2 linked regions of the Drosophila melanogaster genome follow. The gene in region 1 interacts genetically with each later gene. Each region holds a gene or a part of one and is shown on either strand. Other genes may lie near its edges. The genes, in order: mbl and SERCA.

The links.
Region 2: of mbl (region 1) and SERCA, changing one suppresses a phenotype caused by changing the other (phenotypic suppression), as found in Drosophila melanogaster (one study listed by BioGRID).

Annotation. Positions count from the first base shown.
Region 1 is NT_033778.4:17,263,631-17,268,576, forward strand, and holds the start of mbl (muscleblind), read left to right. Parts: upstream 1-1,887; 5' UTR 1,888-2,581; intron 2,582-4,946. UniProt on the Drosophila melanogaster protein: Required for terminal differentiation of photoreceptor cells. Vital for embryonic development.
Region 2 is NT_033778.4:23,929,862-23,937,927, forward strand, and holds the start of SERCA (Sarco/endoplasmic reticulum Ca(2+)-ATPase), read right to left. Parts: upstream 6,024-8,066; 5' UTR 5,964-6,023; intron 5,820-5,963; exon of another isoform or gene 5,719-5,819; intron 4,224-5,718; exon of another isoform or gene 4,048-4,223; intron 3,880-4,047; exon of another isoform or gene 3,830-3,879; intron 3,584-3,829; exon of another isoform or gene 2,954-3,583; 5' UTR 2,924-2,953; coding exon 2,806-2,923; intron 2,731-2,805; coding exon 2,713-2,730; intron 2,628-2,712; coding exon 2,545-2,627; intron 2,469-2,544; coding exon 297-2,468; intron 238-296; coding exon 122-237; intron 58-121; coding exon 1-57. Other genes in the region: CG3735 (uncharacterized protein), read right to left, coding at 7,607-8,066. UniProt on the Drosophila melanogaster protein: This magnesium-dependent enzyme catalyzes the hydrolysis of ATP coupled with the transport of calcium.

The sequences.
Region 1 (4,946 bases):
TCGCGATTGTAATTCATGTAATTCATTATGCATAATTTGCAGACCAAAAAACCTTTCACTTGCCCCCGAGCTCCATTAGCGATCTTTGTTTCTCTTTCGGGTCACTGACAAAAACTCCAATTTGAAATCGTTTAAAAATAGTGAACTCACACAAACACCGATGGACTTCTAATAATAAAAATCAAATCCTGGTGGGGGCGGGGTATATCCACCGTATAGTGGAGCTAAAATCATTGCGGGGGCGTTCCTCGATCTGGATCTGCATCTGGTTCGGGTCGGGTCGCTCTCTCTCTCTCTCTCTATCCCCTTTCATATGGATTTGGCTTTCACATGCCAGTTCTCGTTGGACTTCGTTTTTTTCGTTCTTGAAATCGCTTACATTCACTTTTTATTACAATTAACCTACACGGAGTGGTGCATGGTGTGCGTTAGTGGTATTCCCCCCTTTCCACGCCTACACCACATATTTTAATTGCCATGTGGGGGGTGTTAGGACCATATCTTTTGTTGCCAAAAAATCCAAAGAACGAAACAAATTTATGACATAGAAATGTCAAGAGTTGTGGCTGTGTGTGTGCGTTACATATTTCTATTTCTGGCCCGCTGGGCTGCATTCGGATATATAGCTATACCGTTATGGATGGGATGCATTTACGTAAATGATTTAGAACATATCGAACACATTTTGAAGGTGACTTTGACAGAGCGAACAAAGTTCCAATTCACTAAGTTCACTTATTTCTGTCCTTAGGCCCAAATGGAAACTGCAAGCAAACATTAATTATCATTGCGGTGTGTGAACAATTAGAGCAATGGTATTTTTCAAAAATGTACCTGGCCATTGCATGAATAAGTAGAACAAATGGTTTTTTGTTAAAAATAATTTAATAATTATATTCTTTAAGGTGCAGGTTTATACATATTCAAGATTTACAAAAAACCTTTTTTAATGGGGTCTTAGCAAAAATAATGAAAATTTCCAAAAATAAAAGATAATTGTTTTGTATATGTACGTACTTAAGCTGACGACTTAAAATGAACAGAAAATCATCAAAGCAAATTTATGACACTAAGCATAATTATAATATAATAATTATAATATACATAAGCCCTAAATAATTATAACGTGCCCAATCACTTGTGTCAAAATTGTAAAGATTTTTAGAAATTAAAATTCCTAAAATGTCTATTTATATGTCCATATTTATTATCTATTATTATCTATAGTTTTACACATTTAAATTTTTTTATCACCTAAAAAAAAAAGATTTATCGAAGGCTTGAGAGAGCCACAAAAAATACATTATCTAGTTTCTACCGTTAATTTAGTCACCGATTTGCAAAAATTAGTTGCCAGGCTATTTTATAGTCCGCAACCTACGCCAAAAGCTTAAGTCTGTCTACTTTTGGCCAGTTAACCTTTTAGTTGATTGTCAACTCGACTCGCCTTCATTGAACTCGGCAACCCCTAAAAACCCCCCTCGGTAATCAACAAAACCAAAAACACTCGAACTCTCTTCATTGGATAAAAGTACTCTTTAAGAGCACACAAGAGAGCTCGTCGGACTGTGGGACAAACAAACACTTTTTCGTACTGAATGGAGGGTTGACAGTTTGATTGCAACAGTTGACACCTATAAAATTTAAGCTGACGAAAAGAGTTAGTCAAGCATTTATACACTAATATACAAAATAATATATAAATTGGAATATCTTTTCCACTTCTTATATGCTACAACGTTTTGAAGTTACTAAAATGCCACAGTATGTGGTTTTTTGCCCCACAGTGCAAGCGTAAGCGAAAGAGAATGACAGGCAGAGAGTGAAAGAGAGCGAGAGAGTTTCGAGTCGAATTGGAATGGAATGACCAGAAAAATATTGCTGCTTTCAGTTTCGAAAAATTTTTCGATGGAAGCGGTTCTGTCAGCGGAAAAGTGAATTATACCAGAGCCTGCCTGAAAAACTCAAGAAAACCCCATCAAAGAAATAGCAGCTCTCAGCTAAATAATAACAAACACAATACTTTCTGCTCAGTCACCGCAAACAGAAATAATCACAATTCTGCAAAACGCCGTCATCAAAAAAGTTTTAGCCTACAACTCTAGAAACGCGGAAAAATTTGTCAAAAATACAACTAAAAAAACAACAACGCGAGTGCACGTGTATGTGAGGTGCTCAGTAAGAGTGTTTGCGTGTGTTCGTTTCTGTGTGTGACAGATAATAAAAGGAGAAAAAAAGAAGTTGTCGAAAGTCGTTCGTGAAAATTCAAGAAAAATAGTGCAAGCGCTGCAGGGAAATTGTCCGGAAAAATCGCAAAATCCATTGTTTTTAGCCGGCATCTTAAAAACCAACGATAACAACAGCTTCTGCAACAACGCGCGTGTTTAGTTCACACACACACCACGGAGCGTCGAGAAAAAAAGGTTAAAAATACATTTTCAATTCACCATCGGCGTAAAAGTAAAACAATAAACAAATACAAGAAAATAAAACAGCAGCCGCTTTTTCACCCAACAACAACAATTTCAACAACTTCAACTTCGCCAGCAGCAACAACAACAAGTCAGCTGGACAACCGAAGGTGTTTATACTTAAAAACAAAAAAAAAAGAGATCGTTGTGTTTTTTTCCTTTTGTTTTCTCTCTTTTTTCGCCTTCGTCTTAAGTTTATGTTTTTTTTCTATCCATCGGTTTGTCTCTTCCCTTTCTTGCCACATTTCGTGGTCTTGTTTGTTATTGCTGTCGAATTTTCGGTGATGCCAAGTGAAAAGTCGGAAATTCTGTTTCATGACAGGGAAAACTTAATATTGTAAGGAAAGTTGTTCTCAAGACTGGAGAAGAAGAAATAATGGGAGAAAATTAACATAAGTAAACGTAAAGGAAACTAATGTTTTTCAAAGTTAATAAGGTGTATGTAGTTTTAAAGTGTAGTATCCATCCAATAAAACTTCGGTATTTAAAGTTTAAAAAAAAAAGTTAATTTCAACATACATAAAGTCTCATTGGTAGTGTTTTATAATTACAGTGTTGCAAAAGAAGTCACTTACTTAGAGTCTATTTAGTGCTGAATAAGGTGCAGAAACATTGACGTATTCAATATTACAGAGATGCATATGCATATATATCGGAGGCTAATTTATATTGTTTGATTTAAATAATTTAACAACAAAATTCTATTTACCAAATTTGTTCAGGCCAAAAAATATAAAAAAGTACGGAGCAATATACACAAATATACATTTATTATTGAAAACAAACTACTTTACACGGCCAAAAATATAAATTCTGCATTAATAAGTGTATTATAATCATTAAAAAAAACTTGCTTAATCTGTTAAAATAATGCACATCTCGTTCACTTGGCTTGGTAAAGCTTAATGACCGAAAATCAAATTGAAATTGAGCCTAATGAACTGTGAAATAATAATTAAAATTCAACAAATTGCAAACCAAATTTGTCAGAGTGAAAATGGGAATGGTTATTCCACATTATTGGGCATTAAATACGTTAAATATATCCACATTATTTGCGAAAGCGCCCTAACAGCTTAACATGAATATATATCATCTGTGGAGTTAATTAACTTAAAAGCACGGTAAAAACTACAAATATTCGCGTTGTAATATAATGCAAATTTAGCCATTTTTATTCTAAAGCCGGACAAGGCCTAGACTATTAAACAAACAAAATGGAGAAAAAAAAAATACATCTAAGTCGAGCGATTTTTACTGTGCGTTTCAACACTGTTAGCCAGTTGTAAAGAAACACACGTGACAATAAAACAAAACGCCTGCAAACAGGCAATTACGGAATTAATGGCTAAATCAAATTGTTTTGAAAGCTTACGATATTTAATGGGCTTAGACACCCGAACAGAAAACAGACATGATTCTTAAATTTAATGTGATTATTTTGTTAAACGAAACTGATTCAATTACCGCATTTGTTCTGACACTGCAAATCGATTTCATTTTAGGGTCTTAGAGACGAATTAATGGGAAATACGATCCCGAAACGCACTGTACTCGCACATGCAAATACATAGATTTTATTTTAACGAAAAGTCACGTTTTTTATGTGGTTCTCCACCTAAAAACCCACACCCCTCGCTCTTGCCAAGTCGTAACCATTAAATTTATGTTTATTTCGGTCCTAGCTTCGGTTTCAGTTGCAAAAAGATTGTTATTATAATTTTTCCGATTTGTTTCGTTTTCCTCCAGTTCAGATATGCAAATTGAATTAGCTCTGCCCGCTGGCAACTGGAAAACAAAAAGCAAAAGTTTGACACATTTCGTTTTTATTTTTACTCTTCATTTTTACCCATCATCATCAACAAAAGTGTCAAAAATGTGTTGCTGCAGAAATATGAGTCAAAGAAATCGTTTGGAAAATGCCAAAAATGAATTATTATTTCTGTCCATTTGTTCAATACACTCTGACAAGTCATTCACTTTTTCTCCTCCGAACGTACTCAAAAAATCAAACTCGAACCATAACTACAAAACGCCACGAATGCCACAAGACGGTTTTATATTTTGTTGGTGAAGGGGATTGGTATGAAAACTTGAGGACTTTTGGCATGACTAATCGATTCGATTTTTCGCCAAAAACTCATGCCGCAGTACAAAAAGACGAGGCAAGAAAAAACGTCGCTGTGAGAAATATGTGTTTGACTTGTAGTAAGAGGGTTTTGTGCTTTAAGCTCTTCTCAATAGGTCGTAAATATCGATAGGAACACCCCCTTTCGGTTGTCGAAAGTGTGGAAATAGCGTTGTATATGTCCGTGTTTGTTTGCTCGGCTCGCGATTTCAGTTTTGATGCGAGATGACAGCACTCGAAAAGGTGTCAGAGTTCAGACGAAAGGTATAAAAAGGTCTAGCCTTAAATCGCTAGAAAGCTCAAAACAATACAATTTGCTTATGAGCAAATACTTGTTAATTAATGCT
Region 2 (8,066 bases), 6.7 Mb from region 1:
CACCAGGCGGCGGCACCGACGGTGGCAGCGCCGACATAGAATCCAATAGCCATGTAACTAAAAGTTCGATTGAGGCCAAGTTAATACCGATTAAAGGATGTGTGCTTTTTGAGTAACCCACCGGAAGAACAACCATCCGGAAATGAGACCCTCATCGGCCTTCCTGGGGGGCTTCTCCATGATATCCAGATCAGGGGGGTTGAAGCCCAGAGCGGTGGCTGGGAGACCATCAGTAACCTGTGACCAAGTACCTATTACTAACCATTTTAAGTAGTAAATACCCCATCAAGACGTACCAAGTTAACCCAGAGCAGCTGGACGGGAATCAGAGCCTCGGGCAGGCCAAGGGCAGCAGTAAGGAAGATGGAGACGACCTCACCAATGTTCGAAGAGATGAGGTAGCGGATGAACTGTTTCATGTTGTTGTAGATAGCGCGACCTTCTTCAACGGCAGACACGATGGAGGAGAAGTTGTCGTCAGCCAGCACCATTTCGGCGGCAGACTTGGCGACGGCGGTACCAGAGCCCATGGCAATACCGATCTCAGCCTTCTTCAGGGCGGGGGCGTCGTTCACACCATCACCAGTCATAGCGGAGATTTCGTTCATGCTCTGCAGGAACTCAACAATCTTGGACTTGTGCTGGGGCTCCACGCGGGAGAAGAGGCGGGAGCGGGCGACGGCAGCCTTTTGTTCGGTGGGGGAAAGGTCGTCGAATTCACGACCCGAGTAGGACTTGCCAGTGGTGTCCTCATCCTCGGCGAATACACCGATTCTGCGGCAGATAGCCTCGGCAGTGGCCTTGTTGTCGCCGGTGATCACAATAACACGAATACCGGCGGCACGGCAGCGGACAATGGAATCGAAAACTTCCTTACGGGGGGGATCCAACATGCCCACAACACCGACGAAGGTCAGGTTAACCTCATACTGGTAGAACTTGGTGGAGTCGCCCAGATCCATCTCGTCGGGCTTCATGGGGCTATCGGCAACGGCCAGAGCCAGGCAGCGAAGGGTGTCGCGTCCAGTACCGTACTGGCCGGTCAGGGCGAGGATCTTGGCCTTCAGGGCCGAGGTCAGAGGAACCTTGGTGGTGCCAACGCGGGCGTGTGTGCAACGCTCTAGAACACCCTCGGGGGCGCCCTTCACGAACAACTTGGGGCCAGTGCCCAGGCGGGAAGCCTTCAGGGGGGTGCAGTACGAGGACATGGATTTACGATCGCGAGAGAACTCCAGGGTGAATTCCTTCTTCCACTTGGTTTCGATCTCACCGCGGCAGGCGATGGCAGCCGAGCGGCGGTCCAGGCCAGACTTGTTCACGCTGAAGCTGTTCAGTTTCTCAGCCAGCACAATCAGGGCGGTCTCAGTGGCTTCGCCGACCTTCTCGAAGGCCTGCTTGAACTCATTGTAATCAATGGCGGAGTCGTTGCACATGATGCAGATGGTGGACAGTTCCTGCAGGGTATCGTAGTCAGCAGCCTTGATGCGCTGACCGTTGAGGAAGACCTCGCCGATGGGCTCGTAGGTGGAGCCGGTCATCTCGAATTCGAGGAAGCTGCTGTCGTTGCCTTCAACCTTGTCGAAGATGAACATGCGGGAAACGGACATTTGGTTGGTGGTGAGTGTGCCGGTCTTATCAGAGCAGATGACAGATGTGCAGCCCAGGGTCTCCACGGAGGGCAGGGAGCGGACGATGGCATTCTTCTTGGCCATGCGGCGGGTGCCCAGAGCCAGACAGGTGGTGATGACGGCGGGCAGACCCTCGGGGATGGCAGCCACAGCCAGAGCGACGGCGATCTTGAAGTAGTAGATGGCACCCTTGATCCAGGAGCCTCCGTGAGCGGGGTCGTTGAAGTGGCCGATGTTGATGGCCCACACGGCAACGCAAATGACGGAAATGACCTTGGACAGCTGCTCACCGAACTCGTCCAGTTTCTGCTGCAGGGGGGTCTTGATCTCCTCGGTCTCGGACATCTCAGTACGGATCTTGCCGATGGCGGTGCTCAGGCCAGTGCCGATGACGACGCCACGGGCCTTGCCGGCTGCGACGTTGGTGCCGGAGAACAGGATGTTCTTCTTGTCCTGGTTGACGGCGCGGGGATCGGGGATGGCATCGGTGTGCTTGATGACGGAGACCGACTCACCGGTGAGGATGGACTGATCGATCCTAAGGGTGGTCGAGTAGATGTGGGTGATACGGATATCGGCAGGGATCTTGTCACCGACAGACACCTCAACCAGGTCACCGGGCACGATCTCTTTCGCGCGCACCTTCTGGATGCCGGACTTGTCCTGGCGCACCACCTTGCCCATCTCAGGCTCGTACTCCTTGAGGGCCTCAATGGCCGACTCGGCGTTACGCTCCTGCCATACTCCCACCACGGCGTTGGCTATCAGGATAAGTAAAATAACTAGGGGCTCTACAAATGCAGTGAACGTTTCCTCGTGTTCCTCAAACAGGGCGAGAACCTGGGGATTGCAGAGGGGAAGAGTGTGGTCGTAACTAAGTTTTTGAGGGTGGGTTTCTTTGTGCTGCTGCACTTACAAATGAGATGATGGCTGCCAACAGCAGAATCTTCACCAGCAGATCGTCGAACTGCTCCAAGACCAGCTGCCAGATGCTCTTTCCTGTGGAATACAATCGTTATTATAATGTATGCATACAGTGAAGTGGGGGTGGGGGGCAGGGGATCTGCTCGGGTTGTGTTCGCACCTTCCTCAGTCGGCAACTCTGTAACGATAAGAAAACAAACACGTCAGTCGATTCGGTCTCGGAATGTGGAGGGGAATTACGCGCGACTCTCACCATTGGGTCCGTATTTCTTCTGGTTAGCCTTGATCTGGTCGAGGGTTAAGCCGCGCTCGGGGTCCGTTCCGAAGAAGTTGAGGGACTGTTCGACGGTTTTCGAGTGACCGTCTTCCATCTTGATTCGTTATCCTCTTCGTTCAGTGGCCTGTGTCCAGATTCCGGGGCGATTCAGGTGGGGATTTGAAAGTAGACACAAGGCAAGGGGCTCATTTTAATTCTCTGGCAGGGCTATTTAGCTATTTTGCCGTTTTCTGGGCTCTATTCAACGACTGACTGGAATAGCAAGTGTGTATGCACGTATGTATGCACATACATCTGTACTGGCATGTACGTTTGCAGTTAAAACTACCTCATTAGGTTCTGAATAAGTGGTCGTACATGTGCATGTGCACGGCACTCGGCTCACGGGTACTTTCCAACATACGCACATACACAGGTGCTACATGCTAATTCCCCGATTTCAGGCACTTCTGATCGGGCCCGGACTGGCCACTAAAGTCGCGCAGTTATCGCGCCAACTTAGGATCGGATTGTGCGGATCGGGTCGGAGAATATGCTGGAATATTGCATTACTATGATGGGCTGTTACCCTGGCCAAATCGCTCCGCTTATGAGATTCACACACGTGTCACTTCGCACAACAGACGCAGTTTTCGTTTTTCTATTCTCAGTTTCTGCGGGGGATTGGGGGATCTGGTCCGTAATACGGGTGCTCTGCTCCTACGTTAACCTCGCTAAACGACGCACTGCGTGTGTTAAGTACTTTTTTCCACTGACTCTCTATATAATATAACCCATGGCGCTTTTTTCTGAATATGTGTGCTGATAACTATTGCACTAAGTACCAAGCCGCGATTTACTGCCTATCGCCGTTCTGCCTCACTATGACACGACATTATTCGCACAAGACAGGGCTGACTGAAAACGTATATCGTCCGAGTTACGTTATTTGTGCAGAGCTGCCTCTTTCTCCAACTTTTAAGAATTCTCAGTCCTGGCAATTATTAGATAATTATCCCACCTTTTAGCTCAGCTTCTACTGACGCGTTCAATTTGTGCTACTAAACTGCGATAGCCGGCGTTATCGATAACTGAGAATCTCAACTGCGATGGCTAACTGTTGAGTTTCCGTGTTCAGTAATACCGATAGCTGAGGTGATATAGGAATTTAAAACTAATCAAAGTTTCGAAGGAATTCAGCTGTGCTGGAAAGTTTCTTTATTGGAAAATACCTCTAACCTTATAAATCAAGTTGTTATTGCGATCGAAAACCAAATGTTTTTACTCCCTTCTGTGGTGTAAATCGAACTGAAATCCTTATCACGAATGCTTAAACTTATTTATACATTGTCATATTTTCACTTGGCAAGCGACAGAGACATCCGCACTATTTTGGCCACACAACAAGCAACACTATTCTTTTCGCGCATTTTGTGCTCAAATTAATGAGATCGAGATCAAGAGCCCGCAATAAATAGATCTGGGTGCCAGGTATTCGCCAGCAGCGACATTTTTAAATTTTAATTTTAATCTTTTTCGCGACCAGACACTAGAATCAGGCCATACGGGGAATTTTGAACGGCAGCCAACTCGCATAATACTTGAATATTACGCTGGCTACGTCACAGAATTACATACGTAACTTCTGATAACGAGGTTTCCACCAGTTGCCCGCCCACAAAAGGCGTTAGTTTTCAAAAAACTGTCAATCAATGCGCTCGAATACTACTTATATTTTGAGCACAGAGACGTGTGTTTCGAAAACATCTTCATGCATATAGCCTATATATACCCCTAAAATACACATGTGTGTGTGCATTATGGAGCAAAAAATCGCCTCTGTCCGAGATGGGCTAAAAATAGAGTCCTAGCACCCGAAAAATACAGCTCAATTCTGAACACTCGTAGATATAAAGATATGTACTAGGACCACATAAATAAGTTTGAGTACATATACAGAGAGACGATCGTAGGGAGAAAGATTCCTATTCTGCGCGGTTATATGTACGATTTAACGGCTTATGATATTGCGAGCAGAGATATCTCCATGCTAATGGATGTCGACACTTGTGCGATATGCTGCTTCCCACGTCCCCGAATCCGAATTTCTGATTGACAAGTCCACCGATGGGTTGTATAATAGTGGGTGGGTGGGTTCAAAAATAAGTACAAATGATTGGGCCATGATCCTGGGCTGAATGTACTTATAGAGCTACACGTTTCTGTAAAACTGTCTGTTGGTTTCAGGGATCTTTTGCAACTGAAAGGCAGTCAAATTCACTAACCGATGTAACCACCATTAAGCTATGAATGCGGGTAGTTAAGGAGTTCAAGAGATCGTGTGTTCTATGCTTGTTACAAGGGCTACAGGTACAGTACAAGACATGGATCTTTCGAATTTGGGTACGAATATATTCGCCACGGTTGCGGTTGTGGTTGCATAACCAGATTTTCAATCACAGATACATAGATCTCGGGCACTTGGAAAACTTTACATCTGTGTCGGATCGAATCTATTCGTGGAGTGCTCTCGTATTGGTGACATTCAAATTTTCGATACCATCCGGAGGTCGAGGTCACCGCCGAATCGTCGCCCTTACGGATATTTCATGTATGTAGATAGATCGAACTACGAGCTCTGGACGAGCTCCAGGGTGGCAAAGTAAACTGGGGGCAAACACTTTGAGTTTGAAGCACGGTTTTCGAGTGTAAGAAGCATGTTCGTATGTAGATATGTAGGCATTTCAATAACTTTTGGTTTCCAGGTTTTCTTTTCTTTTGAAAGCGCGCGGACGAATTTTCGATAGTTTTTAGGGGGGTTTATTTGCTTTACCCAATGGTTTTGGCAGTTTGGAGTAATTCACTGGCGTATTCGCTTTGCAGTTGTTGCAGAAAATCAACAAAACTTACAATTATTATTCCTAGCAAAAATTCCGTTATTATATAATAATTTATTTCAGTCGGAAGACCAAGACACAAAGATCGCGCTATTATAACGATCAACGGCAACTGAACGCAAGGAGAACGCTGCGCGATGAGAGTGTCTATTTGAATTACAAAATTCATATATTTTGGCAAAATTCCCAAAACTACATACACTCTCTATTTTGGCCCGGGAAAATACTTTTAGCACGCACAAACTTTTGAGCACTTACCACCTATCCAATCCAATCCAATGCGATCCGAATTCGAATGGTGGCGGTTCAGATCTGCTCGTGCAGCTCGTTCGTACCTCGACGAGGCAGATTCACCGTGGTCCCCCAGAGATTCGTATATGTGGCTAGGTATAGGTGGGAATACCACAATACCACGGGCACACGAGCTCCCCATCCACATACATACATACGTACATATGGCCGCCCGATCTCGGATCCGCGGGAGCGCACGGCCACGAAAGTCTAGAGCAATGGCAATGTGGCGATGCGAGATCACTTGTGGACGTGGATGTGGTTGTGGATGTGGATGTGCCTGGGAGTGTGAGTGCAGACGTATTCCGAGAAATGCACGTGTGTTTGTCTAATATTTAGAAAGTGGTATTTTTAAACCAATCTGGGGAAATTATGCTGGGTTGTGTGGAAGGGTTTGTCACTCAAAGGTGTTTCTACCTTCGGTGTCAGCCACTTCAAGTGGGTCAAGACTTGGGTCCTTTGGTGGGGGGATGGTTGGGAATGATGGCACTGGCACTGACGCATTCCACTTTCGCCGAGCTAGAATCCATCATAGTTATCCATAGCTGCTGCCCTTTGAATATTTTACTTGTCCTTGGCAAATACAACAGATCCCAAATCCCAGCCCAAATACTCATTTCCTCAATCTAGTTGATCTCGATCCATTAACAGCTGAAAGAGCATCCACCAGTCGGCCTGCGAACCCCTAGTTCTTCGTTTGGCTTTTCTGCCTTTTTCCCCAATTTCAGCAGAGACTGGCAGCCGTCGACTATTTTTATTTATAGGCTTGTAATGCCCCTACGGACTCGGACTCTCAGATATTGGCAAGAGCGCTCTCCGCACACGTTTCTGCCGTATGATATCCGCCATCAGCCATCCGCCTTGTGCAGCAGCTATTACGACTTTTCACAGAGACCCCCATAAATATGCATTTGGCTACTATTTTACCTCTATATGTCTAGGCCAGAACTTTTATAAGCTACCTATGTGTATATTTAAAAATGTTGATAAATGACAATGCAGCCAGGAATTTTGATTTATTTTGGGACTGGCAAATCTGGGTTTGATGCGGTTGTCAACCGCTGGATATTGTCTATTTAGGAACTCGGTATATGGTAATGGTTCCAGATTCCAGCAATCTCAAGCAATCAAGCGAAGTGATCATTTAAAAACAAATACAAACTGCAAAATAATGTTTTTTAACACTTAATTGCCTTATAAATGATAACTTTTATTGCATAATGCTCTGGCCAATCTTCCTTTATAAAAAAGGGATATTAAAGTAAAAACAGGCAAAATATATTGAATTCAAATGCATTTTGAATCATTTCATCAATCGGCAAAACACTACTTATGCTGCCTCTTATTACACAACCATTTGCCAATTATTCATTTTTTCATAATTTCAAATTGCGTAATAACAAAGAGAAGACATCGCCACCCTTAACATCAGATCAATCACCTAGCCAGTTCCTCCTAAAATCTCTACGTCACGAAAGTATTTAGGTCCAAAAATAGAGCCACAACTGAAAGTTATCACATACATTACTATTTACTTGCGTTAACATTTAGTATATTCTAATTGACAACTAAATATGTACATATTTCAAAGTCAGCTCTCGTGTAAGCATTTACGTTTTGGTGGAGAAAAGGTAGGAATCCTTTTGACCAGAAGTCAATTTCGCAGCATTCTCACTGCCCACAATGTTACTCAAGCTTAGCAGATCGTACTTTGTGTACAGGATACTGACGGACATTTCGTCCCCAAATCCATCGCGCGGATTTTGATTTGTCTTCAGCATCAGATTGATGATCTCGGAATAGAAGTGCGGAAAGTTGGGCGGCTGGTACATGATCAAGTTCCGGATGCCCTTAATCCGCGTGCGCCGGAAGAAGTGCGCTCTTTCCGAGTACAACAGAACAGATGCCCCGCTGTGGAAGAATATATCTCTCGCCCGGGAAATCTTTTCTTTCTTGGTGTACTCATTTATCTGCACAAAACTGACCATTTCGGTCTTGAAATGGTTGCGTATCCGTACGTAGTCAAAGTAGCTGGGCACGTATAGCATACAGTGCGAGAAACCGGGCTTA